Linked DNA regions of Xenopus tropicalis. The protein of the gene in region 2 interacts with the protein of the main gene of each other region in a pairwise test. Links are inferred from orthologs where the notes say so. Each region holds a gene or a part of one and is shown on either strand. Other genes may lie near its edges.

What was found.
Region 1: the proteins of nudt21 (region 2) and myl6 interact in binary tests that used the Homo sapiens proteins (3 or more experiments, as listed by UniProt). The two-hybrid records come from large-scale screens. The link is inferred for Xenopus tropicalis from reciprocal best matches to the Homo sapiens genes NUDT21 and MYL6.
Region 3: the proteins of nudt21 (region 2) and cep126 interact in a two-hybrid assay, tested with the Homo sapiens proteins (2 studies listed by BioGRID and IntAct). The link is inferred for Xenopus tropicalis from reciprocal best matches to the Homo sapiens genes NUDT21 and CEP126.
Region 4: the proteins of nudt21 (region 2) and rbm48 interact in a two-hybrid assay, tested with the Homo sapiens proteins (2 studies listed by BioGRID and IntAct). The link is inferred for Xenopus tropicalis from reciprocal best matches to the Homo sapiens genes NUDT21 and RBM48.

What each region holds. Positions count from the first base shown.
Region 1 is NC_030678.2:137,524,132-137,532,227, reverse strand, and holds the start of myl6 (myosin light polypeptide 6), read left to right. Parts: upstream 1-2,984; 5' UTR 2,985-2,993; coding exon 2,994-2,996; intron 2,997-3,394; coding exon 3,395-3,422; intron 3,423-5,691; coding exon 5,692-5,835; intron 5,836-6,361; coding exon 6,362-6,535; intron 6,536-6,904; coding exon 6,905-6,982; intron 6,983-7,186; coding exon of another isoform or gene 7,187-7,215; exon of another isoform or gene 7,216-7,228; intron 7,229-8,096. UniProt on the Homo sapiens protein: Regulatory light chain of myosin. Does not bind calcium.
Region 2 is NC_030680.2:51,659,749-51,667,081, forward strand, and holds part of nudt21 (cleavage and polyadenylation specificity factor subunit 5), read right to left. Parts: intron 6,399-7,333; coding exon 6,198-6,398; intron 5,755-6,197; coding exon 5,691-5,754; intron 4,503-5,690; coding exon 4,413-4,502; intron 2,742-4,412; coding exon 2,666-2,741; intron 1,080-2,665; coding exon 965-1,079; intron 1-964. UniProt on the Homo sapiens protein: Component of the cleavage factor Im (CFIm) complex that functions as an activator of the pre-mRNA 3'-end cleavage and polyadenylation processing required for the maturation of pre-mRNA into functional mRNAs.
Region 3 is NC_030678.2:162,392,801-162,400,133, forward strand, and holds part of cep126 (centrosomal protein of 126 kDa), read right to left. Parts: intron 3,873-7,333; coding exon 3,753-3,872; intron 1-3,752. UniProt on the Homo sapiens protein: Participates in cytokinesis. Necessary for microtubules and mitotic spindle organization. Involved in primary cilium formation.
Region 4 is NC_030682.2:31,760,838-31,768,867, forward strand, and holds the start of rbm48 (RNA-binding protein 48), read right to left. Parts: upstream 4,908-8,030; 5' UTR 4,793-4,907; coding exon 4,682-4,792; intron 1,763-4,681; coding exon 1,572-1,762; intron 1,108-1,571; coding exon 962-1,107; intron 1-961. Other genes in the region: pex1 (peroxisome biogenesis factor 1), read left to right, coding at 5,135-5,245. UniProt on the Homo sapiens protein: As a component of the minor spliceosome, involved in the splicing of U12-type introns in pre-mRNAs.

The DNA.
Region 1 (8,096 bases), on a different chromosome or scaffold from region 2:
GGGCGGCATTGCTAAAGCTGCTTCGGGCAGCATTTAAGACAGAATCGCCTCTGCCTCAGCCATTCTTGTGGGCTGTTTAGTGAATATGAGTGGTGCAGGCAGGGGGTGCAACAGGCAGTGCAATGGTGCAGGCAGGAAGGGGGACCCCTGGCAGTGTGATGGTGCAGGCAGGAAGGGGGTGCCACTGGGAGTGTGATGGTGCAGGCAGGAGGGGGGTGCCACTGGCAGTGTGATGATACAGGCAGGAAGGGGATGCCACTGGGAGTGTGATGATACAGACAGGAGGGGGTGCCCCTGGGAGTGTGATGATACAAACAGGAAGGGGGTGCCACTGGGAGTGTGATGATTGCACGGTCACATAGTAGTAGTCTATGTCATTAACTTAAACCTAAAAATAATCATGTTCACCATCGCTAATACCAATTAACAATTCACCAGTGTAACAATTCACATATATACAAGTACAACAATCAATAAATAAATATAAATTAGATCATAAAGCATTAATGTTTAGGTTCAGCAACACCTTTGAGGCACTGATTAAGTTAAAAGAAAGTAAAAAAAATCAAATGCATACTTGCAGAGATTATATCACTGACCTATCCTATACACTCACATACATAAATTATACATACAAACATTAATACTAACTGTAGATATTAGTATCACAATAGCCTTGGATACTATGCTTGTTCAAAAACTTATCCAGGCCCCTCTTATAGGCATTAACAGAATCTGCCATTACCACATCACTAGGAAGGGCATTCCCCAACCTCACTGCCCTCACCGTGAGGAACCCCCTACTGTATGTTGCTGCAAATGAAAGTTAATGGTGATGGTGGCGCGGCGGGAAAGATCCGTATATGTATTTATTTGGCACCAAGGCCATTTCACATAAAGTAAATAATTCAAATAGCATTAGCAAATAGCCCATCTCCTGCCCCCTTACTGAGTTAATCTACAAGCTAGCACCTATCACTGAAGCCCAGCATAAAAGAGGGAATAACACTGGTAGGAATAGGATTTTCACTAGTAGTGACAATGGGAATGTATAAGCTGAAGGTACAAGGTTACATTTGCTTTGTATCTATAGGTTTTCATCTCTGCAGAAGTTGCCATGTAACCTCCAGTATAAGACCCCTCTGTTCAGCTATACCAGCAGAATGGAAGCCTGACTTCATTTACTTTAACCGTCTCATCTGTGCAGTTGGCAATGTAACTGTGTTTGGTATAGATTATAAAACCTCCAAGTGATTGATTGAATTTGAAATGCGGTGCGCATGTCATAATTGTCAAAAGTAGATCCAGCTGTGGGTCCGTGGCTGCCCATGGTGGCAGGGCCGCCATCAGAAATCACGGGGCCCCTAACAACAAAATTTTCTGGGCCCCCCTCCCCCAGGGCCCCTCCCATCAGTACAGGACACACAGACATAAAAAGTATTAGGGCCCCCCTACCACAGTGCCCCCTAACACTATGCTGGCCAGGCCCCCCTAACGCTATGCTGGCCACAGGCCCCCCATAAAATTGCCCCATATACAGTACTCCCATACACAGTGCCCCCAATTGCCCCATACACAGTGCCCCCATAGACAGTCCTCCCCACACACAGTGCCCCCAATTGCCCTTAGACAGTGCCCCCAATAGAAAGTGCCCCCATACACAGTGCCCCAATTTCCCCCATAAACTGTGCCCCCAATTGCCCCCATAGAAAGTACCCCCAACAGACCAAGTCATCGTCGGCTGCTCCTTCTCTCTTATGCTGCGGCAACAGGCCCTTCTATAAGGTTGCACCTCGTCGCTGACGTGTGACTTCATATGCACAGGCGCAACCTTATAAAAGGGCCTGTTGCCACAGCATAAGAGAGAAGGAGCAGCCGACGATGACTTGGTCTGTTGTGGGTACTTTCTATGGGGGGCACGGCACGGCGCGGTCTATTGGGGGTACTTTCTATGGGGGGTACACTCTATGGGGCAATTGGGGGCACTTTCGGATTCGGTTCGGTGCAGAGCATGGATTCGGCCGAAACCGAATCCTTGAAAAAAAAACGCAGTATTCGGCCTTATAGGAAATAGTATATATACAAATATATAAAATATATTATATATACCATTTGGTAAGCAGATTTTATACATGACCAGTACAATATATAAATTTTTATGCAAATATCAGACTATATATATATATATAGTTGAAACAGAATACCACACTCACAGGACTTAGTGAAAAAATGCGCTACATTTTGGCGCCATTGTGGGTTTAAGAGTGGGTTTGTAATTACTTTGTTCACTTTGAGAAAGGCTGTGGATACGGCCGAAACGTTAGATAGATGTTTTTCACAATAAAACATAACTACATTTTTTCACTAAGTCCTGTGAGTGTGGTATTCTGTTTCAACTGTAACACTTGTATTTTGTATACTGCACCCAGGCATTTTGATATAAAAATACCTGAGTGCCTGCTCCCTACCAGCTCTGTAAGAATATATATATACTGGAACAATGACAGCACTCCTAGGGTTTAAAGAATTGTGAGAAAATGTAAATGCAAAAATAGAAAGGTTTATTACTAAGTAACTAAGTAATAAACCTTTCTGTTTTTGCCTAATAAATAAAATGAAAGTGTTAGATATTATAAAATAATTATGATTACATAATGTAGTGATTACATAAGTGACCAGTAAAATATATACATTTTTACGCATTTATCTGTGTGTGTGTGTAAATAATGTTTTTCCTAATACAAAAATTAAAATGTTAGATATAACATAATTTTGATTAAATCATTATTAATTAAGAAAATTTCACTTGCGATAAAAGTACAAACCCATCCCAAGCAGTTCCGCTTATTGGCCAGCAGAGAGCGCACAACGTATATTTGCGTTTGACGTTGCCAGGGCTTGGGGCGGTGACGGGGAGATGACGTAGTTAGGGCTACAAAGAGAAGAAACCGGGAGCTGCGATTCACATTCCGGAAGGGAGAAGACGCGTCAAGATGGTGAGGAGTGTTCGGCAGCTGATAGTCTTTCCCTAGGGGTCTAACCCCAAAGCTGGGACTGTCCAACCTGCGGCCTTTCAGTACCTGATGAGACAAAAGTCTCAGGTTGAAGTTGCATTATAAAGGCTGGAGGGCCGCAAGTTGTCTGTCCCATTGCTAGTGAGGAGATTGCGCAACATCGGTGGATTCCATTGCCTGGCAGATGTTCTTGCCGCTGGCATGCAATGCCCTTTCCTGGCACAATTCCCCATGCCTATAGATTGCCGCTATTACATGTGGGAGACATCGGCAAGGTTGCTGGGGATCACTTTCCGCCCGTGTCGCCCTGGGCCTAGTGGGTGGGTGTGTTGGGGAGGCTATGCCTGTCTGATGCCTTGTGTTTCTCTTGCTTTGAACAGTGCGACTACTCCGACGACCAGATTGCCGGTAAGTGCTCGCTTGGTCTCTATACGCGGCCAGATAGTGATGATCCGTCTCCCCATAGGCTCAGGCTCATCAGTGTCTTTCCCTCGCTTCCCTCCTCCCATCATGCTCACCCTGTCTCTCTCATTTCTCTGCCCTCTCAAGCCTGACTGTACCCAGAGCAGCCGGCCGGTAAGTGGGTGCCCCTCACACTAACCCCGCACTCATTCCTTCCCTACTCACCTTCAGCTTTATTTTTCTAATCTTGGGGTTCTGCTTGGCCCCCCAAACAGACAATCCTCCTTCTCCCAGACATTGTGTCATTAAAGCTCCTGTGCCAGTGATTGGCTGTCTGTGAGACTGGGAACTCTAGTTCAGCAACAAGCCTTGCCCCTCCCTGTTCTGCAGTGATGCATGTTTGGCCATAAGTTAGCCAGAGTGTTCTGTTTCTTTGCAAAATCTGCCCAACTTTGTGATTGGCATGAAATGTGTTGTTGCCTTTTCCCTAATCTACTTTAGGCTTAAGCACCCAGGATCTCTGGCAAATAAGGGGTTAATTTTATCAGCAGTGCAGGACCCCCCTGTGTGTGTGGGAGGGGTTTGTTCTAATTCACATTCTAACCAGCTCTTGTTGCAGAAGGCTAATTCCATGGTGGACTGGACATGCCAGTACTACCCTGTAATAGACATAATGGATGTACATGTAATTGGATTGTATCCATCAGAGCTATGGCTAAAGACTCCTGTATCGGGTTATTGCAGGGCTCTGGGCGTGTTGGCGCAGACAGTGTTTATGTTCCTCCTGTACCTACATTGTTCTTTGACACACACGCCCTCCCTCTCCTCAGAGGAAAATGGCTGCCAGGCTGTTCTCTGGATGCCTTATATGGTAACAAAGCCTCATTCTGAGCCTGTCAGTGCAGAACTGTCAGCAGAGGAGGGGTTGGCAGTGAGGAGGATGGGGCTGAGCTCCCTGCATTCCTGCCGGGCTGATGCCTGCAGGCTGGATTGTCTCTTCCCTCACTGGGTTGGTGCAGCCCAGCCTCAGATCTGCTGTGGGTTGTACTGGGCGTATTACTGTGTGGCAGAGAGGGAAACGTTCCATTTGAAATGATTTCCTCTGAAAGGAATCCAGCAGGAGGGGTCAGGTTAGGGAGTGCCACAGGAAGGAAATTGCCGGGATCCCCCCCCCCCCCACTCGCCTGATTGCTTGCAGTTACTATTTCTAGTCTAAGGGCTGCCGTACAGCTTCAGCCAAGACATTTGTGCAGATGTTATAGCTGTGCAACAAATACTTGAGGAAACTGATGTAGAAATATATATATATATATATATATATATATATATATATATATATATAATGGAAGTTGTTATATGCAGTGGGAGTCCTGTTCCTTCAGGTCCCTAGATGTTGCTGGATTACAACATCCCATCATTCGTCAATATTTTTTAAAGATTTAAAGCATGCTGGGACTTGTAGTCCAGCAACATCTAAAGCAGGGCAATGCAGATTTTTGGACAGCAGAGATCCATCTGATCATGTTCAGACTTCTGAATATAGTAAAGCCCAGGAAGCCTGGTAGTATTTATATGTATATAGTTGGTTAGTACATGTTATAGGGGAGCAAAGAGTAAGTTAGTGCTCAGTATGTGAAAGCTAACAATAAGCTGTGCTGTTGGGAATATATGTGCCCTTACATTTGTAAGTATGCACTGCTGACCCTGCATGCTGACGCGTGTGTGTTTGCGTTAAGGTGGTTGTCACAGGGGCCAATGGAGAGTGATTTTATACTGCTTACTTGGACAAAGCTTCTGAAATCTTGTCTGCTTGTGTCCTGTATCATTGGTCCCCTGCCTATGGCGCAATCCTGCAGTGTTGACATGGGCCCAGTCCGAAGGTCAGTTAGCATGGGAATTTGTGGGAATGCATATTTGCAGCTCTAGATATACTAAACATCACTGATAAATTATATAAAGGGCCCCTGACAAAATATTGGACCTGTGAAGGGTGGGGGCATGAACAGGAAAAGTGCCTAAATCTTTATTTGGTAAATACCAAGAGTCCGTGTGGTTACTCCGTGACCCACTGTCACCTTGTGCTAGTTAACTAAATATTTCTGCGCTAATGCAATGAATTCTCTGTGCATCCAATTCTGCAAAGCTGCTCCAGTAACTGTGTCACTGCCAGTGACTGACCCCCACACTTTGTATTACTGGGTGAGTTTGCATCGGGCCATTTCTTTCTCTCAGCCATTCATGCCCTAACTTATTTCAATTCATTTTTACTTTGCAGACTACAAGGAGTCCTTCCAACTTTTTGACCGTGTCGGCGATGGCAAAATCCTCTTCGGCCAGTGTGGGGACGTCATGCGGGCACTGGGGCAGAACCCCACTAATGCTGAGGTGATGAAGGTTTTGGGAAACCCAAAGCCTGAAGGTGGGTAGAAAAGACAAGGAATGAGAGCCTTGAGTAAATGTGTGCCCTGGGTATTGTCAGGGAGTATTGTGTGCTCCGCTCCATATTTCTGTATGCTGGGCAGTTTCAAAATATTTTTTTTTTTTTTTTTTTTTTAGAGGCCAGTGTCTCATGTCATTGCCTATATTTACACTTTTTTTTTTTCCTTTAAAAGGCTCTCTTAGTAGTTAAATATTCTCATTAAACTAAGAATCACTTGTAGATATATGATGAGGGTTATTACATGCAAACACGGTGGAACCAGTAATTGCAACATTGCATCATACATACAGGCGTTTCCCATTGTTTATGAAGGAGAATATTTTGCAGCCATTCTTGCTGGTTGTGTTGCAGGCAAAACATAAAGCACCATCATACTGTGCCACACAACTGCTAGTAAAGTACCTGAAACAGCAACAATGTCTAGCCTATTGGCTATGTAACCTTCTATCTAGGGGGCTTTACCTGTATGGCTGGTGCTAGTTTGTTCTGTCTCTTATTCCTGCAGACATGAACATCAAGACACTTGACTTCGAGCAATTCCTCCCCATGATGCAAACAGTTGCCAAGAACAGGGATGTACCTGGATTGGAGGACATCATAGAAGGGCTAAGAGTCTTCGACAAGGAGGGAAATGGCACAGTTATGGGCTCCGAGTTGCGTCATGTCCTGGTTTCCCTCGGTAATAACACAATCCCTTGCAAGCTATGTGTGTGTTAGCTAGCCTGCTGACTATCCACTACCATTGATCAGAACAATGGGCAGAACAACTGACTGATACTCGCAAGGCCTAAGATAAATTAGATTTTTTATTTGTCAGTGGGATGTTGAATGGCATCACACCAGAAGAAATTGTATGGCACCTAGGCTTATGGCGCACGTGATGATGATTTTTTTTTTTAACTAGCAGGACAGCACCTGAACCATATTTGATCCATTAATGCAAATTACCGACTACTATAATGTGTCCGATCATTTTCAGCTGCTGGAGAACATACCTTACGCTTGTTATGGAAGTTGTTACGTAACCCTTAATGTTTCTGTTCCACAGGAGAGAAGATGACAGATGATGAAGTAGAGACCCTTTTAAGTAATCATGAGGATGCTAATGGTTGCATTAATTATGAAGGTGAGCACTGTACAGGCATCTTGCTATGGAAGTGTTTTTATCTAATGTTGAATAATATTGTTTCTGAGGACTCATGCTGGGCAGCCGATTAGGAATGTTCTGGGAGAGTAGTGTTACTGGGAATGTAACTGTACTTTGGGTGGTGGGCCCACATGTGCACGATGGTATATGATATCTTGTCTCTGATGATTTTCGTTCCCACAGTGTTTGTCAGGAACATCTTATCTTCGTGACTTCACTCAGTGGGTATGCTGGTTCCTACTACTAGTTTCAGTATATTCTGCCCAGTTTTTCTCTTCTGGTTGCCCCTGGCCTATCTGCATGTTCCTTGCTGTGTCTGGATAGCATTTAACAGACTGCTGCTAACACATTATATTTATTATTGCAGCTTATCCTTGGCTTAAAAGCGTCCTCTGCTGGTAGCCAGCTACTGTCACTGAACTGGCAGTGTTTGTGTGATTTATAAAATAGTGTATGTGTGTCTTCTGTGCATTATGGTAACACTCAGATCCATATTGTTTAGAACAGCTAGCAACCTTCTCTTGGTCACTGGTAGGTGACATTGCAAATAAACAATATTTAGGGGAACTGTGGCCCTTTAGCTACTGCTGATGGAATGCTGGCATTGAAATTAAAGCCACAGCTAAATAGCACTGTAAAATCCTGTATGTTTGTTTCGGAAGGAAATCTTAGCAGATAAATCAATGTTTACCAAAGTTACAAACTAAAAATACTGTAGAATATATATTATTTGCCTAAGCTCATTGTGACCAGGCAAGATAATGATGGGGAAAGGGGGTAGTCCTGCTATATTAGTGCACAGTTCCTTATCTGAGGTAACCCAAAGGAATACATTCGTTATTGGGAAAATGGTACAAGGTTCCCTGCTGCTTGTACAGATTGGGAGTAGATCTGAGGTTTGCATGTACAGTAACTTCCTTCTGCTCCAACATAGAACCCCTTTGCTTCTCTTGCCTCCAGACATTAGCAGTGCTGTAGATATTAGAGACCTCTTCTGGCCTTTCATGCTTTTGGACGAAACTTTCATACTTCAGTCTTTATATGGTGCCATAATTGACTTTCTGTTCTGCTGATCATAGAGACAAACTTGATA
Region 2 (7,333 bases):
GATGTTCCTGGTCCTCTCAAGGCAACTTCCGCGATTTCACGGAAATCACGCCGCCGCGTATGCCATCCCACCGGCGATTTACATTTTTGCTGGTGGGATGGCATTTCGGGGAGATTAGTCGCCCGCGAACAGGGAGATTTGTTGCGGGTGACTAATCTCCCCGTGTGCCAGAGCCCTTAAAGTAGTTGTTCACCTTTGAGTTAACTTAGTATGATGTAGAAAGAGTGATATTCTGAGATAATTGGTCTATCCTTTTTTATTATTTATTTACATTTCTGTTCATTGGTTTTGCAGTTTGGAGTGGTTTAAATAAGAGACTGGAATATAAATAGGAGAAGAGCCTGAATAGAAAGATAAGTAATAAAAGTAACAATAACAATAAACCGTTTTTTTAAAACAAGAAGGCAAATAATTCAAAAACTATAAATAAAAACTATAAATAAAAAATAATGAAGACCAAATGAAAAGTTGTTTAGAACTGGCCATTCTATAACATATTAAAGGTAAACTTAAAGGTGAACCAACCCTTTAAGCAGATATTCAGATATTAATTTCTTTTATAGCATATACAGTATGCACAGCACTAAACTGATATACAAAGCCTTTAAGAAAAAAAGATGTACAGCAGTAAATGCTAAATATTTAAAACATTTACAGATGGCTGTATGTAAAAGTATGAACCGAATTCAGAAGCAATAATAAAATTAACCATGTTATGTATTAAAACTAGACTCCCTTCCATTAGTTATCAGAGACAGGCAGACTGTGACTTTGAAGCCCATTGAATACATCGGTAATCAGTGTCATGGCACAGTTTAAATATTTACTTTATTTTTAAAATGTATTTTTAGAGAGAACTACAAAATATATTGCACTTATTGACAATGTAGGCTTGTCACAGTCACTCTCACTTTGAAACAAGACAATAATATTTCAAAATGTATTATTTCAGAATGCAACCTACCTGCTAAGAAGCTGTGGGAGACTTGAAATGATGGGGCCATATCCAGGAGCATTGTCGTACAATTCAAATAAAGGGGCTGCAACAAGTTTGTAATTTTTGGGCACAGCAAATAGTGCTAAAGGATAAATGAAACCAGAAAAATCATTTAAAATAATTTTCCTTTTAAATTGTAATTGTCTAGAAAAATAAAGCAACCGATTAGCTATTTGTTGTAAAGCAGGTGACCTGTTAAATATGGTTTAATTGGAGAATTGTATTATATAATCTGCCAAAAGTCAATTTTATCAAGTTTACTTATTAGCTGGGAACTCCTTAAGAGTAAAGCCCATGTCACACCAGGTGTTTTCTCTACTGGCATATCTGTGCTGGGGGAGAAAATGATGACCTTCCTTCTGCACCTATAAGTGCACTGAAAGGCTAAATTCTGGCGCAGAAATGCATACTTTCCATGTTCCGACCTGTCTGTACCCTAACTGGCCAATTCTGTGCCTGTCAGTGCACAGTGATGTCAGGGCAGGGTTAAACAGATCTGTGTTTTCTCACCCGACATATATATATGCTGGTGGGCAAAACTCCTGGTGTGACATGGCCTAAATTTAGAAAAATGTAAGACACAAACAAGTCATTCAGATCATCAGATAATTATGGCTATCTACTTGCAATTTAATGCATGCCTGAGGTCTGGTGCATTAAACACACCTTGACTTGTTAAGCCTTCAGTCCTCTAGTATAAACTAGGGGTACAACAAATACAAAACACAAAATTTTACAGTATAGATTCGGACAGATACCAATAAAATCTGAACCCATATTCAATTTTTAAACCATGAGATAAAAACATTCATCTTTTTTGAACATAAATTAGTTGTCAAAACACATAAGTTGGATGCAGTTCAAGAGCTAAATAGATAATTAAATATTTGGGACCCTAAACCAACACAGGGCAAATCTGCATGTGAGTAGTAACTCATACAACTTTGCACAGTATCCAACTGATCAGCCTGACTGAACATAAGAAGAGAGAGGTAGCAGTAACAATTGAAACAGCAGGTACTGAAGACAACAAGCCATGGCTCCTCTTAACAGCCTCATTTTCCAATTCACTAAACACCATGATACAGGTTTTTTTAAACAGGTTGATCCACAAACTGGCCGATATCCATAGTACATGAATACTGGTCGAGATCATCAGCTTGCTAAACGTGCTTAAAGGACATGTAAACCTCCGCAAAAAAATTTAACCAGCGAACAGCCTTTTTAAAATCTTTATAGATACCTGGTTGTTAAAAGCTTAATTGTAATGCTACAGCATCCCCTTAATCACTTAGGATTCCTTCTCCTCCTCTAACCCACTCGGGTCCCCTTTTTAAGGAACAGACTCTGGCTGTTGGGTAATGAGCATGCTCAATTCTTCTCAACTCAACTCAGATTAAACACACTCTTCTGTCCAACAGCCAGTGAAGAGATGGCATTGCTGGTTCCTATAAAAACTCTGCTCTAGCTGTCTGCTCCTAATTTTTTTCCTAATCCCCTACCCTGAGCTTAATTTAACTAGTATACTGCTCAATCCAAGAAGGACTTTTTACCAAAATTCTGCTTGTGTAAGCCTGCATTCTTCATAGCATAACAGATGAAAGTTCTGTTTTCAGTTTTTATGTATTAGTATCCCTTTAAGAAAAATCAGATAAGCCAGCATCTTACCTTTCTCCTGCAACTGAACTAGGAACAATTTCTTGTGTTCTTTAGGTTTTGTAATATGAGCAGGAATGTATGGATACTGCAAAGATAAATAGGTATTTATCAACATACATACATACATACATACCATGACTGGGTTGTTTCAGTAGTTAAAGACATGTTAGGGAGAGGCTGAGGGGGGAAAGATAATAAAAACAGCCAATTTGCACGTCTGCTTTTTTGACAGCTCCCCATGAAGCATCAACATACCACCTAAATGTTTCTCTTTTTCACAAACAAACAATACAATAAACTGTATGGAGTTCTTGTAAAAAGTCTGGAAGTCTAAACATAAGAACTGGCCAATATGTTTGTTTTACAAAAAGAACACATTATACATTGTAAATTACTGCTTTTGTAAAAACCCCTTTATTTCTAAATATATGCAGTTACAGCTGTGCTTAATTGCTTATTTTATGCCATCTTCTGCAAGAACAGTAAAAATGTTCAGAAGGTTTAATATAAACACTGTTATATGTTTTATTTACTTTATGTGATTTGCCCTTTAACAAAAAATGTGAATCAGTAGTTACAATTAAGGTTAATTTAATTTAAAAAATTTTTGTACTAAATCATTTATTTGCAATACACATTTATTCTGATCCAGTATATTCATTTTCCCTAAGAATTTGCCTACTTATAATAATACAAGCTGAATGTGTGTTCTCATAGTCTCTACAAAAAGATACCATAAGCTTCTGGCAGCATAGGTCTAACCTCTTACCTAAGCATAATTTCTGTTAGAAAAGTTCAAGGCATAGCTGCCCCTAAAGCCAGTTTATTTCTTTAGATCAATGCTCACCAACAGAATACCAGTATATGAAATTGTGAAAATGGCTAGGACCGGAGAAAATGGGCAAATAAGCTTAAAACAAAACCAAAACAAAATAAGCTTAAAGGACATGTAAACCCCACACATAAAAACTTAATCAGTGAACAGCCTCTTTGAAATCTTTCAATACCTGCCACACTGGTTGTCCAGAGGTTAATAGTAAGGCTGCAACATCCCCTTAATCACTTAGATTTCCTTTTCCTCCTGTAACCCACTCGGCCCCCCAGGAATTTGCTTTGGCTGTTGGCTTGTGGGCATGCTCAGTTGTTCTAAGCCAAGATTACTAAACACGCCCCCCAGTCTAGCAGCCAGTAAAGAGAGGGCCTTGCTGGTTCCCATAGAAACTCCGCTCTAGCTGCCTGCTTCAATTTTTTTTTCTAAATGTAACTGATTATATATCAGAGGAAAAATGGCCACTGGGTGAAAGCTGCTATTTGCTTTTAGGAAAATGTGATGGTGCTGGCAAGCGGAGGGGATATATGCAATACAAATTATGCCATTTGGGTGAGGGAGATGTGCCCAACTGATATATATTGTAGGCAAATGTAGGCTTTACATGTCCTTTAAATAAGTGAACAATTTATCATCACACAGAAAGATGCTTCATGGCACAGTGGTGAAATATATGTAATACACTGATCCAGGGTGTGAAACTAGTAACCTAGATAATGCTAACAATATTAAGTTTGACACTATCCTGCAAGCAAAGTAGTGGTGCTTTCTTGCATAAATACATACTATTATACCAAAAAGTAATCACTGTGTGTGTGCAGTGAAACTATATCCTCAACTATTATTGTACACTGAAGATAAAATAAATAGAAACTCAATTAGCAGCAAGGTTGATGTTTGCTTTAACATTAGGTATAAACTGTATACCTGAGGAGGTTCAAAGTTGGGCCTCCACCAATTTCCAATACAGTCATCAATAACCCAGTCCTGCTGAACTCCATCTTGACGGCCAAGTATCTAGAAAACAAAAATAATGTTTTTAATATTTAGACCCGTGTGAAAGACTCCTTGTAACTCCTCATGTCACATAAACTTTTGAAGAACAGGCATGCACTCCTTGTCCAAAGCTTTTCACCAGGTGCAAATCAGATGAGGAATCTCAGTACTCCCCCTCCTTTACCACAGTCCAAAAAATATTCTGATGCACTCAGGTTTTTTTGTATCAAAATTCGAAAAACATTTTCTTTATTATATCAACGTTTCCACACCACAGAGTGGTGTCTTCCTCATTTCACATATTTATAAAGCGCCAGCACGCACAGAAGATACAAATTACATACAAAGAGGGCCCTGCTCAATACAGTTTACAATTTAAAAGAGAAGGGGGTATGAGACAAGTCAGCCACTCATATTGAAAATGCTACTTTGGCAAGGTTACCAAATGAACAGATGTTTGTCTTTTTATCTACTTGTGTGGTAAACACACTAGAGCAGATCCAAAGCTTTTACTGCAAATTAATCAAACAGAGGGTCCAAAAAAAAGTTTTCTGCTTGTCCCAACTGATTACAAATATACATATACAAAATACCAGATGAAGAGCACACCAAAATTTAAATGCGATACCTGGGTGCCAGAGCAGCAGACATGGAATAAAAAGTAAAAATGTCGGCACTCAGAGGGTTCTCACGATAATACTCACAGGCAATAAGTCATAGTAAGATACAGTAAGGTGAGGTTTACTGATCCAACGTTTCGGGGTTCTAGTAAGGAACCGAAACGTTGGATCTATAAACCTCACCTTACTGCATCTTACTATGACTTATTGCCTGAGAGTATTATCGTGAGAACTCTGTGAGTGCCGACATTTTTACTTTTTATTACATATACATACATACATATACATTCAGCAACGAGTATCTACCTCTACAAAAAAAAATTTCAATGGTAATCACTCCCTTCCCCTTCATAAATCAAAATGCGTATGCAATGCACATTGGCTGCTGCCATTTTTGACAAGTCCAGTGCCCAGACCTCCTGGAGGCCACCACCCGTGTCCCTGATCTGCATTTTACCAACTGGTCCAGGGAATGGGAGCAGAACCTAAAAGCTTCATTAATGTGGTTTGGAGTGGGGTGAATGTTCCAATTTACATCCAAGATCACCAAGTTTACAGCACAAAGGTAAAAGATCAAATATTCACTTACTTCTGTCATTAAACGTTTCAAACCTTCCACCTCATCCTCTCCTGGATTGAGTTCTCCTCCAGGCCTTTATGGAAAAAAAGTATAAACATATTCAACACAGTGACCATAGTAGAAATCTTTCTCAAACTCCTTTAAGTGGTTGTTCACTGTCCAAATCCTATTAAACCACCAACAATACTGTCAGCGTGTCAGAAAATGCATTTTCCATAAAAAATGACCCAGATATGGGATCTATTATATGAAAACCATATATCCAAGAAGGTCAGAATTATGGAAAGTCTATCTCCTATAGAATCCATTTAAGTAAATAACACAGAAAACCATTATTTAAAAAAAATCTTTATTTTTTGTGCGCGTGTGTGTGTGTAGATATATATCTATACACATTCATACAACTCCCCAAATGGCTAGATAGCAGCATTGTATGACATGTGTAGTCAAACCTTCTCAGCTACTACAGGTCTACTAAGAATAAAAAAGAATATACTGGAAAGTTCATGAACTCACAGTTTGAAGAAGGTGGTGCCCAGTTGCAGTAAGAGCACATGAGGCAATCTGTGTTCATGTACAATAAGAACCCCTTCTACAGTGCGTCGCATCCCGATCTTATCAAACTCCTCGCGCATGCGCTGGAACCTTGCAGCCACTGAACTGTCCTTTTCATACAAAGGCTCTTTGGTGCCAAAAGTGTAATTTGTAAGGGGATACCTACAAAAAAATATATTTTTAGTGGAAGACAAATTATTTATACACTCCATAAATGAAAACAACTGCTGGGTATTCTACGCTGCCACTGCATGAAGCCAGCTAAACAAGGGAAATGGGTCTGTGCCTATTAGTATGAGTGAGATATTTGCTACAGGTAAAAACTATTGGTTCAAGTAGTTCAAATGAAATATCAAATATTGCAGACATTAAAGGAGAACTCTACCCCCTGGGCTATAAAAGCCCCCTTAACTAGCACTGCCTTGACCCCCCTCACCTCTCCCTTATCACATTGTTTCTAACTTTAACAACTGTCCATTTGCTAACCCCAACCTAAAACAGCAAAGTAGCACAGCTGCATACCTGGCCGACATCTTCTTTGCAACTGAACACACTGAAATCTGCTTAAACTGCGCATGCGCAAGCAGGGTTTGTATCGGCAGAGAGACCCGAAGTGTGTTCAGTTACAAAGAAGATGTTGGTCAGGTACTTAGCTGCGCTACTCTGCTGTTTTAATTTGGGGTTAGCGATAGGGACAGTTGTTAAAGTTAGAAACAATACGATAAGGGAGAGGTGAGTGCTAGTTAAGGGGGCTTTTATAGCCCGGGGGTTCTTCCTTAAGAAGACTTATCTAAGATTTATTAAACATTCTGTATAGCTCATTGGATTTTGCATTGTAATACAATACATTTTATCTTGAACTTGAAAAGTTTAGTTAAACAAAAAAAAAAAACAAACAAAAACCCCACTGTTTTTATTACCAATTTGTTTCATAATTCTGGGCACCAAATAAATGAAATAACAGCAAATACAGTTTTGAAAAACAGTTTCAACCCCTCCCTGACCACTGAACATAAACTACAAGCAAACTCTAGCGATAAAAGGGGCCTGTCACCCTAAGAAATAATTCAAAATCCTTGTGTGTCATTTTAGTCAAG
Region 3 (7,333 bases), on a different chromosome or scaffold from region 2:
AGCACACTGCTAAGTTTGTTGTTTTGTAACCTACAATGTGTAATAGACAGAAATTATACACGTGCTGGTTTTTAATGGATTTTCTGCATGCAATGAGCAATATTTATGCAATGTTTACAGGATATGTGTGTGAAGCGTGCATTTTAACTCTCATTCTGTAAATATTCATCCTTATATATTACATAATTATTCATTTTCTTATTAGCTATATCACTGCTACTCACAGCCTAATGCAGATGTTCCCAAACTGTTGGATGATAATGAGTTAAGGGGGCCCAGCCTGTAGATTGGTTACATGGGAAATTGGGATGAATGTTCATTTTGGCCTTCTAGCTATTCCTGGAAGTCAGGGATAATAATGAGGGGGAGGGGGGTATTTTTTCGTATTTGACTAGCGGGACCAACTGAATCGAGGTAAATGAATGTTTGCAATTTGAATAAGGCCCAACTAATAACTAAAAGCAACATTAAACAACATAAAACTAAACCCTAAAAACAAATATGGCCAGAAATGCCATATTTTCTATACTACTCACTGCACTAGCCAAAAGGTTCAGCATCTCTATATTAATAATGATATAGGTCTTTACAGTAGTCACAGGAGCTCCCCATCTTGGATTCTGTTAGATCTGTCAGTGGCACTGCACGTGCTCAGTGTGCTCTGGGCAGCTGTTGAGAAGCTGAGCTTAGGGGTTGTAGTAAATTATCAAGCTGAAAATTAGGCTGGCCTGTAATATAAACTGATGCTACAGGGCTGATTGTTAAATTCTGATGACAACTGCACTGACTTCAAAGCTGCCATGTAATGTGAATGTGAATGAGTATAGTATATTGTGAATGGGTCCCTAAGCTCAGGTAAGTGACAGCAGCAGCACAGAGTATAGGCAGTGAATAAGGAGAAAACAAGACGAGGAGCTAATGGGGGCATCTAAGGAGGCACAGAAGTCCAGTACAGAAGCCCAAAACATAATGTGCAGCATTTCTAGCCTATTTCCTTAGTTAAGCTTTAGTTCTCCTTTAAAGCTTGCCCGGTAGTAGTGATGTGTGTGTTGACCAGTACAGGTCCAGTTTGGGCGTGGGACAGACTGGAAAAATACACTCCACCTTTGCTCCTACAGATTCCCTAGGCAACCCGGCCGAACCTTCATATTTGTGCAAACAATCGAGTGTGCCTGAGACAGGGAGTGGAAAGTAATGAACATGGGGACGGTGGTGGGACAAGGGCCTAGACTAGGGGTATGTGAAAGAAGAGGTACGTGCATAGTGCCCCCCACTACCGTTGCGCCCTAGACACATGCCTCTTCTGCCTATCCCTCATTCCAGCCCCTATTTCCTGTCTTAGAAACAAAACCACACAAGAAGTAGCATATGGAGTGGAAAGATGCAGGTATGGGTCGGGTCTTGCAATGCCAATATTTTGGGTGCGGGTCAAAGTTTTGAGGGTCAGGGTTGGGTATGAGTTAAGGTTTTGCGGGTTCAGGTCAGGCGGTTGTTGAGTTTTTCCTGCCCCACACATCACTACCGGATAGGTATTTGCGAATATTTCAATTTACTTTTAGAAACAAAGCTTTTATTCCAGTGAAAGTGTCTGTTTAGTAATTAGCGGTGTATCTATCCCCGAGCAGCAATAAAATTGCGGCTGCATTAATAGCAAATGAATGCATGAAGTGAATGGAAAAGAGCTGATTGTTACGGTACAGTGTAAGTTTCAGGATCACTAAACCAAAGAATGGTTTATTCTTTCTAAGAACTAGTGTAACAAAGGATCTTCAGGACATAGAATCTATCTATAGCCTTTAATAAGTTAGGTCTAAGGTAACTCTTAACCTATGAATGCTCCAAATGAGAACATGGGCCTTAATGCATTCCATACGTTCCATGGCAGAGTATCACGTTTACCTGCAAGCTTCTAAATAAAAGTATCATAATGTTTAGTTAACAAAAGGTCTTTGTTCTACTAAATACATAAAAAGTGAATTATGGACGGTTATTTATGCAAAATGTATTATATATTAGATTCGCATAGATTGCTTCATTCTCTATCAAGGCTGTAATCAAAGCTGGGCAAGGTTTGTTTTTTCCTCTGCAAACTTTCAGCCATTACTGGTTTGTATTTGGTTTGTATCTACTGGTTTATATCTGCCACAATTGGGCTAATACCCAAGTGACAGCACTGGAAGGCAATAAGAATTATGAAAGAAAGAAAAGAACAATGGCTCTCATATGAAACTGAATCTGCAAGCAGGTTAAAGTCGGCTATATTATGGGCTAAACGAGGGGATCTTTCACCACTTTGTCAACCTAAGGTGGGCAATATTAGGCCGATTCAATTGCTTGGCCCGAGTGCAAAACGACTGGATCTCAACAAATGAGATTTGGGTCAAAGACCCCATCAACAAGACGACAAGGTCCTCAACTTGAAGGGGAAATCAAACCTGCCCTTCAACATATACTTCATTTTTGGTGTTACAATATATATTGGTTGCTTCATCGATTGTAGGTCCTTTTCACTTTATACTGTTCCATCATTTAGGCTGTTAGAGCAAACAAACAGACCAACAGAAAGGTGCCCATACGGAGTATAGCCACTCATTTAGTATCAGTCTATCACCCAGCTGATCAGATATAGGCAGGTATATGGCAGCCTTTAGGAACACATTTATAGCTGCAAAAGTAGGCTCTATAACAGGAATAACACTACACATTTATTTCTCAACATTTGCCCACTTGACAGCTGAACAGAAACAGTTTGAAAAGCAAATACAATTACTTCAAACTTAAATAAGGAAACCTAAACAGAGACAGGTAGGGTGCCATTAACATATTAAATACTGCTGCACAGAGACCCTGAAGACCCCTCCCAGAGTTCCTGCCCCTTTTGTTGTATCTGCTCCTTAGCCTATTCAAGACCATTCTGTTTTTCACAGGCCATTAATTACTAGGAATTTGTCCAGCTAAGACCTAACCCTAATGTGCCATAGGCAAAACACTTCCCTCTTTAACTTCACTATTACATATGGGTCACCAATCTGTTAGGTAAAGTTTCCACTAACAGTAACAAAAATGGAATCAAAATATGGTATATAAATGCAAATGCAGAATTTCTAGGCTTCCTGAGAATAAGTTTAAAGGAATACTGTTATGAGAAAACTTGTTTTTTCCCAAAACCCATCAGTTAATAGAGCTTCTCCAGCAGAATCCTGCACTGAAGTCTGTTTTTCAAAAACACATTGTTTTATATTTAATTTTGAAATTTCACATGGGGCTAGCCATATTCTTCATTTCCCAGGGTGCCACACCAATGTGACCTGCACCCTGATAAACTTCAGTCACACTTTACTTCTACGCTGCAAATTGGAGTGATCCCCTCCCCCCCCAGCAGCCGATCAGCAGAACAATTGGAACGGCAGCAAGATAGCAGCTCCCAGTAGGTATAAGAATAGCACTCAATAGTAAGAAATCCAAGTCCGGCTTGGGACTCTTCCAGTTACATAGGAGAAACAATAGGTTAGCTGAAAGCAGTTCTAATGAGTAGCGCTGGCTCCTTCTGAAAGCTCAGACTCAGGCACAATGCACTGAGATGGTGCCTACACACCAATATTACAGCTAAAAAAATCCATTTGTTGGTTTAAGGAAAAAAAATTAAATGGTAGAGGGAATTATTTGCTATGTTAACAGTGTAATTTAGAAATAAAAAGTACATCAAAAAAATTATGACAGTATCCCTTTAAGAAACACCAGTATAGACTTACTTTCTTCGTCGATTTGTCTCTATGCTTAATTTCTGCGCTCGAATTCGACATAATTTTTGTTCTTCCAGCAACTCCTGTCTTTCTTCATCCAAGTTTATTTCCAGATGTGATTTTTGGTTTCTTAAAGCAGGACTGAGTTAAGGGATATGTCTTGATTGATAAATGTAAATGCTTATACATTTGACTTTGTTGTTGTTTATAATGGTAAATTGAAACTATCAGCTTTCAGCAAAATATTCATTCGTACTGCCCAATTCTCACCCTTACTGGCCAACTCTAAAGGTGGCCATACACGGACCGATTCTAGCTGCTGATATTGGTCCATTAGACCAATTCGGCAGGTTATCAGCCTGTGTATGGGCACTAACGACGGGCCCGCGCGAGCGATATCTGGCCTAAAATCGGGCAGGTTTGATTTTTCATTGGATCAGGGACCGCATTGGCTCGTTGATGCCTGGACCAAAATATTAATTGTTCATTTATATTAAAGGGGTTGTTCACCTTTGAATTAACTTTTAGTTTGATGCAATGTTTTATTATATGTGGTTTTTAAATTATTACTCTATTTGTTCAACAGCTCTCCAGTTTGGAATTTTAGCAGCTATCTGGATGCTAGGGTCCAAATTACCCTGGCAACCAAGCAGTGATGTGAGTGAGACATTGGAATATGAATAAGAGAGGGCCTGAACAGAAAGAAAAGTAATAAAATATATCAACAACAATAAAATAGTAGCCTCACAGACTAATAGTTCTAGGGTCAGTGACCCCCATTTGAAAGCTGGAAGAAGTTGGAAGAAAAAGGCTAATAATTTAGAAACTATAACAAATAAAAAATGAAGACCAATTGAAAAGTTGCTTGCCATTCTATAACATACTAAAAGTTAATTTGAAAATGAACTGCTCCTTTAGGTAACAACCTATAATTATGTCACAGATGAGCTACAATGGTACATGTGTAAACTCATCAGCTAGCTTTTCCTTCACCAGCATCTCACCATGCTTATACATATGATAAAATGGTTTGTTCTTCCTGCCTTGACAATTGCTTGTCTGTTTACTCATTTGAAAATCACAATTGCTTGCTACATCGTAAAGCATGACTTCACTGCTCCCCACAGGGCATAGTAGACATCAGTCATATTAATATCATAAAGTATCCTGAATTGTCAAGGAACAAAGCAGCCTTGTAGTTTTATTAATAGATTATACAGACTTATAGACTTAATTATAGAACACAAAGTTTCTGCAGCACTACAACACATCATTCAACGCTGTACAAATAAAAGGTTTGACTTTGAAGTGTGACGTAATGGCAGCCGCACAATGAGAAATATTTGCAATATAGTTTTAGCTAGATCAACGCTCGAATGCTGCAATTCAAATTTTAGTAAAATGCAGACAGTGATATTCTAATACAATCTGCAATTTTTTAAATGAACGATTTAGCTTTTTTGATCAGCAACTCTCCAGTTTGGAATGTCAACTGCTATCTGATTGCTAGGATCACGTTTACCTTAGCAAGCAGGTAGTGGTCTGAATGAGAGCCCTGGAAGATGCCTAGGAGAGGATCTGAATAGAAAAATAAGCGATAAAAAGTAACAATAATAACAACACTGTAGTGGTATGGAGCAAAAAAATTTTGGCTGCTGGTGTCAGTCACCCCCAGAAACTATAAAAAATTATCATATATACCAAAAAAGGGGTAGGAACTCAAGAAATCACGTAGGTCACCAAAAAGTATAATAAAAACTAGGGATGCACCGAATCCAGGATTCTGCCTTCTTCAGCAGGATTTGTGTTTGGCTGAATTCATGCTCCCGGCCGAACCAAATCCTTATTATTATATAAACACGGAAGTTGAAAATTTTTTGCAGCACCTTAACCCTTCCATATCCTAATTTACATATGCAAATTAGGATTCGGTTGGGTATTCGGCTGAATCTTTTACGAAGGATTTGGGGTTCGGCCAAATCAAAAAATAGTGGATTCTGTGCATCCCTATAATAAAAACAAAAATGTTATTAACGCAACATATCAGTTTCCTTAATTAGTCATAGACAAAGGGGCCCATTCATTAAACCACAATTATTTTGTGGTTAAAATCACGATATGCAAAAAATTCGGAGTTACCATGATGTGATTTTCAAACATTTCATATGTTAGAAAACGTCACGAAAATATCTTGGTTACGGTTCCAAACGTTCGGAAACAGCACGAAAACCTTTCTGACTTTGAAACCATCAATGTATGATTTTGGAAGCCACCCATAGGACTCAATGGCACTCTAGAGATCCAACCTGGCCAAAAAATAGTCACGATACCAAAGCTTGAATGAATTCCGAAATGGCCGTAGTCTTTGCGAAAAATACGACTTTTTTGTGTAAGTCAACGAAAAGCAAGAAAAAGTTGTGGAATTTTAAACTATATTATCGTGGACATTACGAAATCGTTGTTTACTCCAGAAAACCAAAGCGGAGCACAGAAACCATGTATTTTTATTAAGCATACAATTTTCTGAATCCAAAATGGGTAAATGTTTTTCTACTCCAAACTACCGAAATGCAAAGCTTTACTAAAGTTAGCTTTTTTTTTTTTTTTTTTACAATTTACAGCATCTTATCTCTCAAATATAGTTATGTATAAACATTAAACAACCTAAATTGAAACGCCAGGGGTCTTCTGAAAGTTTGATGCCCAATATGCATAGGATTACACAACTTATATCACCAGCAGAGGCCTCAAAAAATGAGAAAACTTGTAAATAAAGATTTCACAGGCTAAAACATGTAATGGGGAACATTGCAGAATGCAATAAAATAACTTAAATCCAATAAAAACCATCAGAGCTAAAAATGCAATAAAAGCACCAAAACACACCCATACGCAGTGTGATTTACTGCCACATTAGTCACACAGCCAAAAACTTTTATAAGGCAAAAAAACATGTAACACAGCAAAAAAAAGTTAAAAAAAATGTATATAAAAGGTATACTATTGACTATGCAATAATACAGGCATGGGATCCCTTATCCGGAAACCCATTATCCAGAAATTTCTGAATTACGGAAAGGCCATCTCCCATAGACTCCATTATAAGCAAATAATTCTAAATTTAAAAAATGATTTCCTTTTTCTCTGTAATAATAAAACAGTACCTGTACTTGATCCCAAATAAGATATAATTACCCCTTATTGGGGGCAGAACAGCCCTATTGGGTTTATTTCATGGTTAAATGATTCCCTTTTCTCTGTAATAATAAAACAGTACCTGTACTTGATCCCAAATAAGATATAATTACCCCTTATTGGGGGCAGAACAGCCCTATTGGGTTTATTTCATGGTTAAATGATTCCCTTTTCTCTGTAATAATAAAACAGTACCTGTACTTGATCCCAACTAAGATATAATTACCCCTTATTGGGGCAGAACAGCCCTATTGGGTTTATTTAATGGTTAAATGATTCCCTTTTCTCTGTAATAATAAAACAGTACCTGTACTTGATCCCAACTAAGATATAATTACCCCTTATTGGGGGAAGAACAGCCCTATTGGGTTTATTTAATGGTTAAATGATTCCCT
Region 4 (8,030 bases), on a different chromosome or scaffold from region 2:
TTGTAATACCATATATATGTGTAAATTGCAATGGAACATTCCTTCTCCTATTATGTAAATATGTTGCTTATGCCACTTAGTCCCCATAAGTGAAGCCTCCTTCATGCTGTGGTTATAATGAGTTTAGAGTAGAGTAACTTGCATTTATATAAAGGCACCATACCTCACCCCATGTAGGCACGCAGAGATATATATTTATAGATTTATATTTATATACACAGGTATGGGATCCACTATCCAGAAACCCATTATCCAGACAAGTTTCAAAGTACAGAAAGGCTATATCAAATAGACTACATTATAAGAGAATAATTAAAATTTTAAAAAATTATTTTCTTTTTCTAAAAAAACCCAGATCTCGAGCATTCTGGATATAAAAAGAAAATATTGATGTGATTCGGCACGCTGGTCCTTCTTATAGGTATTTACATGTTTCGACCTAGCACCCACCTATTGCACCTGTTTAGAGTGTGGACACACAATTTGACTTTATTATATTATATATATATATATATATATATATATATATATATATATACAGAAACAGAAAGGAGCACACCCATCAGGCAAACGAATGCCCTCGGTGCTGGTCAAAAAAAAATTAAATAAGCAAACAGAGTACCGCACACATAGGGACTTTATGAAAAAACAAAAAAGGTTTATTGAAATAGATCCGACGTTTCTAGCACAGTTTGGTGCTCGAAACGTCGGATCTATTTCAATAAACCTTTTTTGTTTTTTCATAAAGTCCCTATGTGTGCGGTACTCTGTTTGCTTATATATATATATATATATATATATATATATATATATATATATATATATATATATATATATATATAAACTTTTGTGCATGTGTTCAAGGTTGAATTCAGTGTTCTTTGTCTGCATGTTAAAAGCACTACTAGGCACCAGTGTGTATGTAGCCAAATGAAAAAGCTCCACATGCTGTGCAACAAACCTTTGCTGGATGTGGCCCTTGCTACAAACTTTCTTCTTTCTTGCAGTTTCTCTCGAGTCTCTTGGACAGTCTCAAATTCTGGAGCGTAGCAGACATGAAGCATGCTGCCAAAGAAGCTGCGTTCATCTAACTTCCGTTTTGCGACTCTAGAGAAGTGCAAGATAAATTTTTAAGGATAAGGGGTCTTTCCATAATTTGGATCTCCATAAAAATCATTAAAATATCGAATAAACCCAATAGGATTGTTTTGCCCCCAATAAGGATTAATTATATCTTAGTTAGGATCAAGTACAAGGTACTGTTTTATAATTATAGAGGAAAGGGTAACGGTTTTCCGGATAAGGGATCCCATACCTGTACGAAGATATCACATTCTAGGTTTAGATTTCTATGATATTTATATTTAAAAATTGTGCTTAAACTCAAAAAAAATTACACTGCATTGTATTATGTTGGAAAAAAAAATCTTGCGGCTGTAAAAGGTGGATTAAATTTTTATGCAGACGTATGTATTTTCACAATTTTTCTTCTTTGATAGTTCTTTTGAATACAATGATGGCCAAGAGTCTGAGTACTTTTGCAAGTCAGTGTGTACAGCAACATTATTTACCTTGCACTCTGTATCCTCTGAAATTTAATGAGGTACACCTCAGTGAATTCTTCAGCAGGGTATTCATCCAGCGCATTATACTCTTCTATGGTTCCATAAAGGGCAAATTGCTCAATAAGCTCCTTCATTACACCGATTGCTGGAACCCCTTGCACCAAGAGGTACCGTGACTCCAGATTTATAGTGTACACCTTAAAAGTAATGGAAAAGGTTAGCAGGAATTGCCAGTTTTTGGGGGTTTTCTTTTATTATTATTATTAACATTTATTTATAAAGTGCCAACATATTTCACAGTGCTGTACAATAAGTGGGTTTCATACACTGGACATCTAAGCAATCAAAAACCGATACAAAAGGTGAAGAGAGCCCTGCCCAAAAGAGCTTACAATCTACAAGAAGCATAGTTTTATAATTCTCAAAGTGAAGTCATTCACTTGGAAGGATAATGGTAAGAGAAAGCGCTTTCTATAGCATCTATAGCACTACTGGTGGATCAGTAACCTTGTTTTAAAATAATTGTTCTTAAAACATTTTAAAACTGATTGCCATTTGTTTCTTTCTTCATCTCGTGTGTTTTTCTTTTTGGAGGGAGACTTCTAGCCAATCCATGTGAAACAGGTGAAATAATAGGTGAATATATAAAATTTACTTTTAAAAAAAGACAGTGACGGGGTTGTTTCTCTATCCACACTTGTAGCATATATTTACGAGCAGCTGCAGATATGATAAACAGTACTTTTCTACTCCCCCAATAAGTCTAGTATTTGGTAGGGATACCAAACATTGTCAATTTTGGTAACATAGGAACATAATCCATTTTGGTAACATAGGAACATAGTCTAGCAAGTTATCAATGGCATAACAAGTTATTGATACCCAAAACTTTTTACTATGAGGACATGTCCAGAAACAATTAAATAAATCTGCCTCCAGAGAGTCCTATTTGGGACTGACTTTTGGCGAGTAGTAGGCTCAATAAAAAGAATTTTAGATGCATTTCTTTATATGATCCCATTGGAAGACATTTATTTGCATACTGTAAGGCCTTGAGACATTTGTAATTGAGAAAATTTCAGAAGCCATTTGTTGTGTCCCTTGGTGGAAGAAGTATAGACTATCTGCTTATATAATAGACAGGGTTGGAATGACAGCACACGCAGGATGTTTTTCAAGAAGAATCACAGAGGTTTAGGGCCCTTTTGTGCTTAAAAAGGTTTGTACTGCACTGTGATGTTACTGTCCCTGATGAAAGTTCCAGATAGGAACTGAAACGTCGGACTGAATAAAGCCTCACATTTATTTATCTAAACCTCTGTGATTCTTCTTGAAAAACATCCTGCGTGTGCTGTCATTCCAACCCTGTGTATCTACGCTTTCAGCACTGGCACCCAGGTATTAACTTGCTCTTATGGTGTGCAGCTTTCCAGCAACTCATTTCTGCTTATATAATAGTTTAAAGCCCAGTGATATAGCTCTCTTGGCGGGAGGATGGCTATATAATTTTACTGGTATCGCTTTTGAAGGAAAGCCAGTAACTTGCTAGAAAGCACTGGATACTTTTCTTTGGCTTGAACATACGTTAAAGTTTTTCTATTTGCATCATCTGTAAAATGGCTTAATCAAGCCAGAGTGATACAACTGTTTGTATATGCCATGTTTGCCATACTGTATAAAGCAAATGGTTATCTGTCCAAGTATTCAGCAAGGAATCAACAGTTTTTAAAGTCCTAAACTAAAGATTTCTCTGCGCAAAAGCCTGATTCTTCATTAGTACCACAGATTTGTGTGTTATATAATTAACGCAGCAACTGGGAATATTGTTTTCAAGGCATGGGGCAAAATACAGTGAAATATCACCAAAAAAAAGCCTGTTCCAGGCTGCTAAAAAATAAACATTAATCTTTCAGTAGAACAGTGATCCCAGTGATCAAATGGCTCTGTCACAGGCCTGACCTCAATCCAGCTGAGAATCTCTGGCATTATATGAATAAATCTGACTGGGTGCAATAGCCGAGGGCTACAGGCACAAAACTGAGATGAGGCACATTTTCAGTTTTTGGTCAAAATATAATTTTTTTTATTTCTCAAACATTTAAAATTTAAATGCACATCAGCATCTTACATTTGTCACATGATATGGAAAGCTTAAAACAGACCCTTACAAGTCAATCTTGGTAAGCGTCAAATTTAAACTTTTTTTTTTTTTTTAAATATACCCCTCAGTTTAACGTGAACCCAGTAACTGAGTGCATTATACTCTTCTTTATGAAATTAAAAGAAAATAGTATCAGTTTGTGTGTGTTTTTTTTATATGCAGACATGTTAAGTGTGCTGGTTGTATGAGAATGTGTGCAGAGTGAAATGATGTAATGTTACAGGGCAAGGAAAGGGAAACTGGAGTGTGTGCTAGGGCAGACCCTGCAGTTGGAAGGGGGCCCAGGAATGGAAGTGGCCCAGGAATGGAAGTGGCCCAGGAATGGAAGTGGCCCAATAAGACCCTAATTGATGAGAAATGTCAATGTATCTTGGTAGAATAGGTTAACATACAAATATTTTTTGGGCCCTAAATTGAAATTGTTGTGGTACCCCACTGGCTTGCAGTATACATGACTGCTGGTGTAACTAGAGACCACTGGGCCCAACCACAAAATTATCTTTTTATTCATAAACATATATTTAGCCTTATCAGTTGCAGCCACTGGGTCTGTGACATCTATAATTACAATCATGGGAAATAGCCCATAGTTTATAATGAAACCTACTGCCTCCAAATGGTGAACTAGAACTCTAATCCCTCTCCCACACTATTCCCCTATCAGTGGGTGCAGATAAAAAGGCAGCATTTTTTCCTTCAGTGGAACAATATGCTCCTATGTAGAAACAGAAATCATTACCAGTTCCCACACAGTGCCCAATTAAAACCACATGAATATAGAAGAGCTAACATTCTTATGGAAGCTGTAACTCAGTGATAACTCTAGGGAGCAATTTCTACGAAGGGAAACCTGCTAGAGCGGCACTGGCGCTCAGTCCCACCGCAAGAATACGCTGGAATACTAGTTGTGTGGACGTATAAAAACCAAAACAAAAACTGTAAATGTTTCACGCACTTTGACTGCTCTGGGCCTCCGTCCTTCGCGGTACTTGGCCCGTGAGGCGCATATCTTTCGCTGCTCATGGTGTGCGTAGGCCTGCACTTGCACTGCTGCGCTTTCTGCCATCGGCTTCTGCTGTCTAAGAAATAGTTCCCTCTCTCCCTGTACCAAACACAGGCCGGGACACAGAACCAATAGGCGGAAAGGCAGCAGAACCAATAGGCGGAAGGACTGCCCCGCACACAGGCGTCATTAGAGCACGCCATTCTCTGATTGGGCGGGAGGTACTATACGTCAGCAGACACAGGGTGAGTGGGATTTCCTCGATTGTCAAAGGTGAAACAGCGCGGAAGTTACCCAGTAGGCATGAAGGAGCTGATAACGTTAGCGATGGAAGTTCTGTTACTTGCACGTTCGTCATACACAGCGCTGGAGTGAAGGGGGTTGCTGTGGGTACGCCACAGTAGGATGCTAGGTCCGGGACCGCCCGGGGCTGCTGTGTCCCTGAAACTCACAAGTGCTAAGGACACATTTTTGCGTGTGACACCTGAGGTGCTCGCACAATTACGCCTGGAGCAGGTAACTCTAACCGGGGCCCGTCTGTCCGTGATGGGCAGCACTTGTTTATTTTAATATGATGCCTGTAATGGCCCTGTCCGGGCACTAACCAGGGCTTTGGGATTCTCAGGTGATTCTACATGGAAAGCAGGAGGGAGTTTAGTAACATGACATGAGGTGTATTTGTGTAGGTGTCAGAAAAGGATTAATAATATCAACTGGGATAATAGCCTCTGGGAAGGGACTGGGGCTGTGGGATAGCAGGTATAGTAGGGAGAGATGGTGCCTATAGTAGCAGTGGGGGGATAATAGCCTCTGGGAAGGGACTGGGGCTGTGGGATAGCAGGTATAGTAGGGAGAGATGGTGCCTATAGTAGCAGTGGGGGGATAATAGCCTCTGGGAAGGGACTGTGGCTATGGGATAGCAGGTATAGTAGGGAGAGATGGTGCCTATAGTAGCAGTGGGATAATAGCCTCTGGGAAGGGACTGTGGCTGTGGGATAGCAGGTATAGTAGGGAGAGATGGTGCCTATAGTAGCAGTGGGATAATAGCCTCTGGGAAGGGACTGTGGCTGTGGGATAGCAGGTATAGTAGGGAGAGATGGTGCCTATAGTAGCAGTGGGGGATAATAGCCTCTGGGAAGGGACTGGGGCTGTGGGATAGCAGGTATAGTAGGGAGAGATGGTGCCTATAGTAGCAGTGGGGGGATAATAGCCTCTGGGAAGGGACTGTGGCTATGGGATAGCAGGTATAGTAGGGAGAGATGGTGCCTATAGTAGCAGTGGGATAATAGCCTCTGGGAAGGGACTGTGGCTGTGGGATAGCAGGTATAGTAGGGAGAGATGGTGCCTATAGTAGCAGTGGGATAATAGCCTCTGGGAAGGGACTGTGGCTGTGGGATAGCAGGTATAGTAGGGAGAGATGGTGCCTATAGTAGCAGTGGGGGGATAATAGCCTCTGGGAAGGGACTGTGGCTGTGGCATAGCAGGTATAGTAGGGAGAGATGGTGCCTATAGTAGCAGTGGGATAATAGCCTCTGGGAAGGGACTGTGGCTGTGGGATAGCAGGTATAGTAGGGAGAGATGGTGCCTATAGTAGCAGTGGGATAATAGCCTCTGGGAAGGGACTGTGGCTGTGGGATAGCAGGTATAGTAGGGAGAGATGGTGCCTATAGTAGCAGTGGGATAATAGCCTCTGGGAAGGGACTGTGGCTGTGGGATAGCAGGTATAGTAGGGAGAGATGGTGCCTATAGTAGCAGTGGGATAATAGCCTCTGGGAAGGGACTGTGGCTGTGGGATAGCAGGTATAGTAGGGATAGTAGGGAGAGATGGTGCCTATAGTAGCAGTGGGATAATAGCCTCTGGGAAGGGACTGTGGCTGTGGGATAGCAGGTATAGTAGGGAGAGATGGTGCCTATAGTAGCAGTGGGATAATATTCCCTGGGAAGGGACTGTGGCTGTGGGATAGCAGGTATAGTAGGGAGAGATGGTGCCTATAGTAGCAGTGGGATAATATTCCCTGGGAAGGGACTGTGGCTGTGGGATAGCAGGTATAGTAGGGAGAGATGGTGCCTATAGTAGCAGTGGGGGGATAATAGCCTCTGGGAAGGGACTGTGGCTGTGGGATAGCAGGTATAGTAGGGAGAGATGGTGCCTATAGTAGCAGTGGGGGGATAATAGCCTCTGGGAAGGGACTGTGGCTGTGGGCATAGCAGGTATAGTAGGGAGAGATGGTGCCTATAGTAGCAGTGGGATAATAGCCTCTGGGAAGGGACTGTGGCTGTGGGATAGCAGGTATAGTAGGGAGAGATGGTGCCTATAGTAGCAGTGGGGGATAATAGCCTCTGGGAAGGGACTGTGGCTGTGGGATAGCAGGTATAGTAGGGAGAGATGGTGCCTATAGTAGCAGTGGGGGATAATAGCCTCTGGGAAGGGACTGGGGCTGTGGGATAGCAGGTATAGTAGGGAGAGATGGTGCCTATAGTAGCAGTGGGATAATATTCCCTGGGAAGGGACTGTGGCTGTGGGATAGCAGGTATAGTAGGGAGAGATGGTGCCTATAGTAGCAGTGGGGGGATAATAGCCTCTGGGAAGGGACTGTGGCTGTGGGATAGCAGGTATAGTAGGGAGAGATGGTGCCTATAGTAGCAGTGGGGGGATAATAGCCTCTGGGAAGGGACTGTGGCTGTGGCATAGCAGGTATAGTAGGGAGAGATGGTGCCTATAGTAGCAGTGGGATAATAGCCTCTGGGAAGGGACTGTGGCTGTGGGATAGCAGGTATAGTAGGGAGAGATGGTGCCTATAGTAGCAGTGGGATAATAGCCTCTGGGAAGGGACTGTGGCTGTGGGATAGCAGGTATAGTAGGGAGAGATGGTGCCTATAGTAGCAGTGGGGGATAATAGCCTCTGGGAAGGGACTGGGGCTGTGGGATAGCAGGTATAGTAGGGAGAGATGGTGCCTATAGTAGCAGTGGGGGGATAATAGCCTCTGGGAAGGGACTGTGGCTATGGGATAGCAGGTATAGTAGGGAGAGATGGTGCCTATAGTAGCAGTGGATAATAGCCTCTGGGAAGGGACTGTGGCTGTGGGATAGCAGGTATAGTAGGGAGAGATGGTGCCTATAGTAGCAGTGGGATAATAGCCTCTGGGAAGGGACTGTGGCTGTGGGATAGCAGGTATAGTAGGGAGAGATGGTGCCTATAGTAGCAGTGGGGGGATAATAGCCTCTGGGAAGGGACTGTGGCTGTGGCATAGCAGGTATAGTAGGGAGAGATGGTGCCTATAGTAGCAGTGGGATAATAGC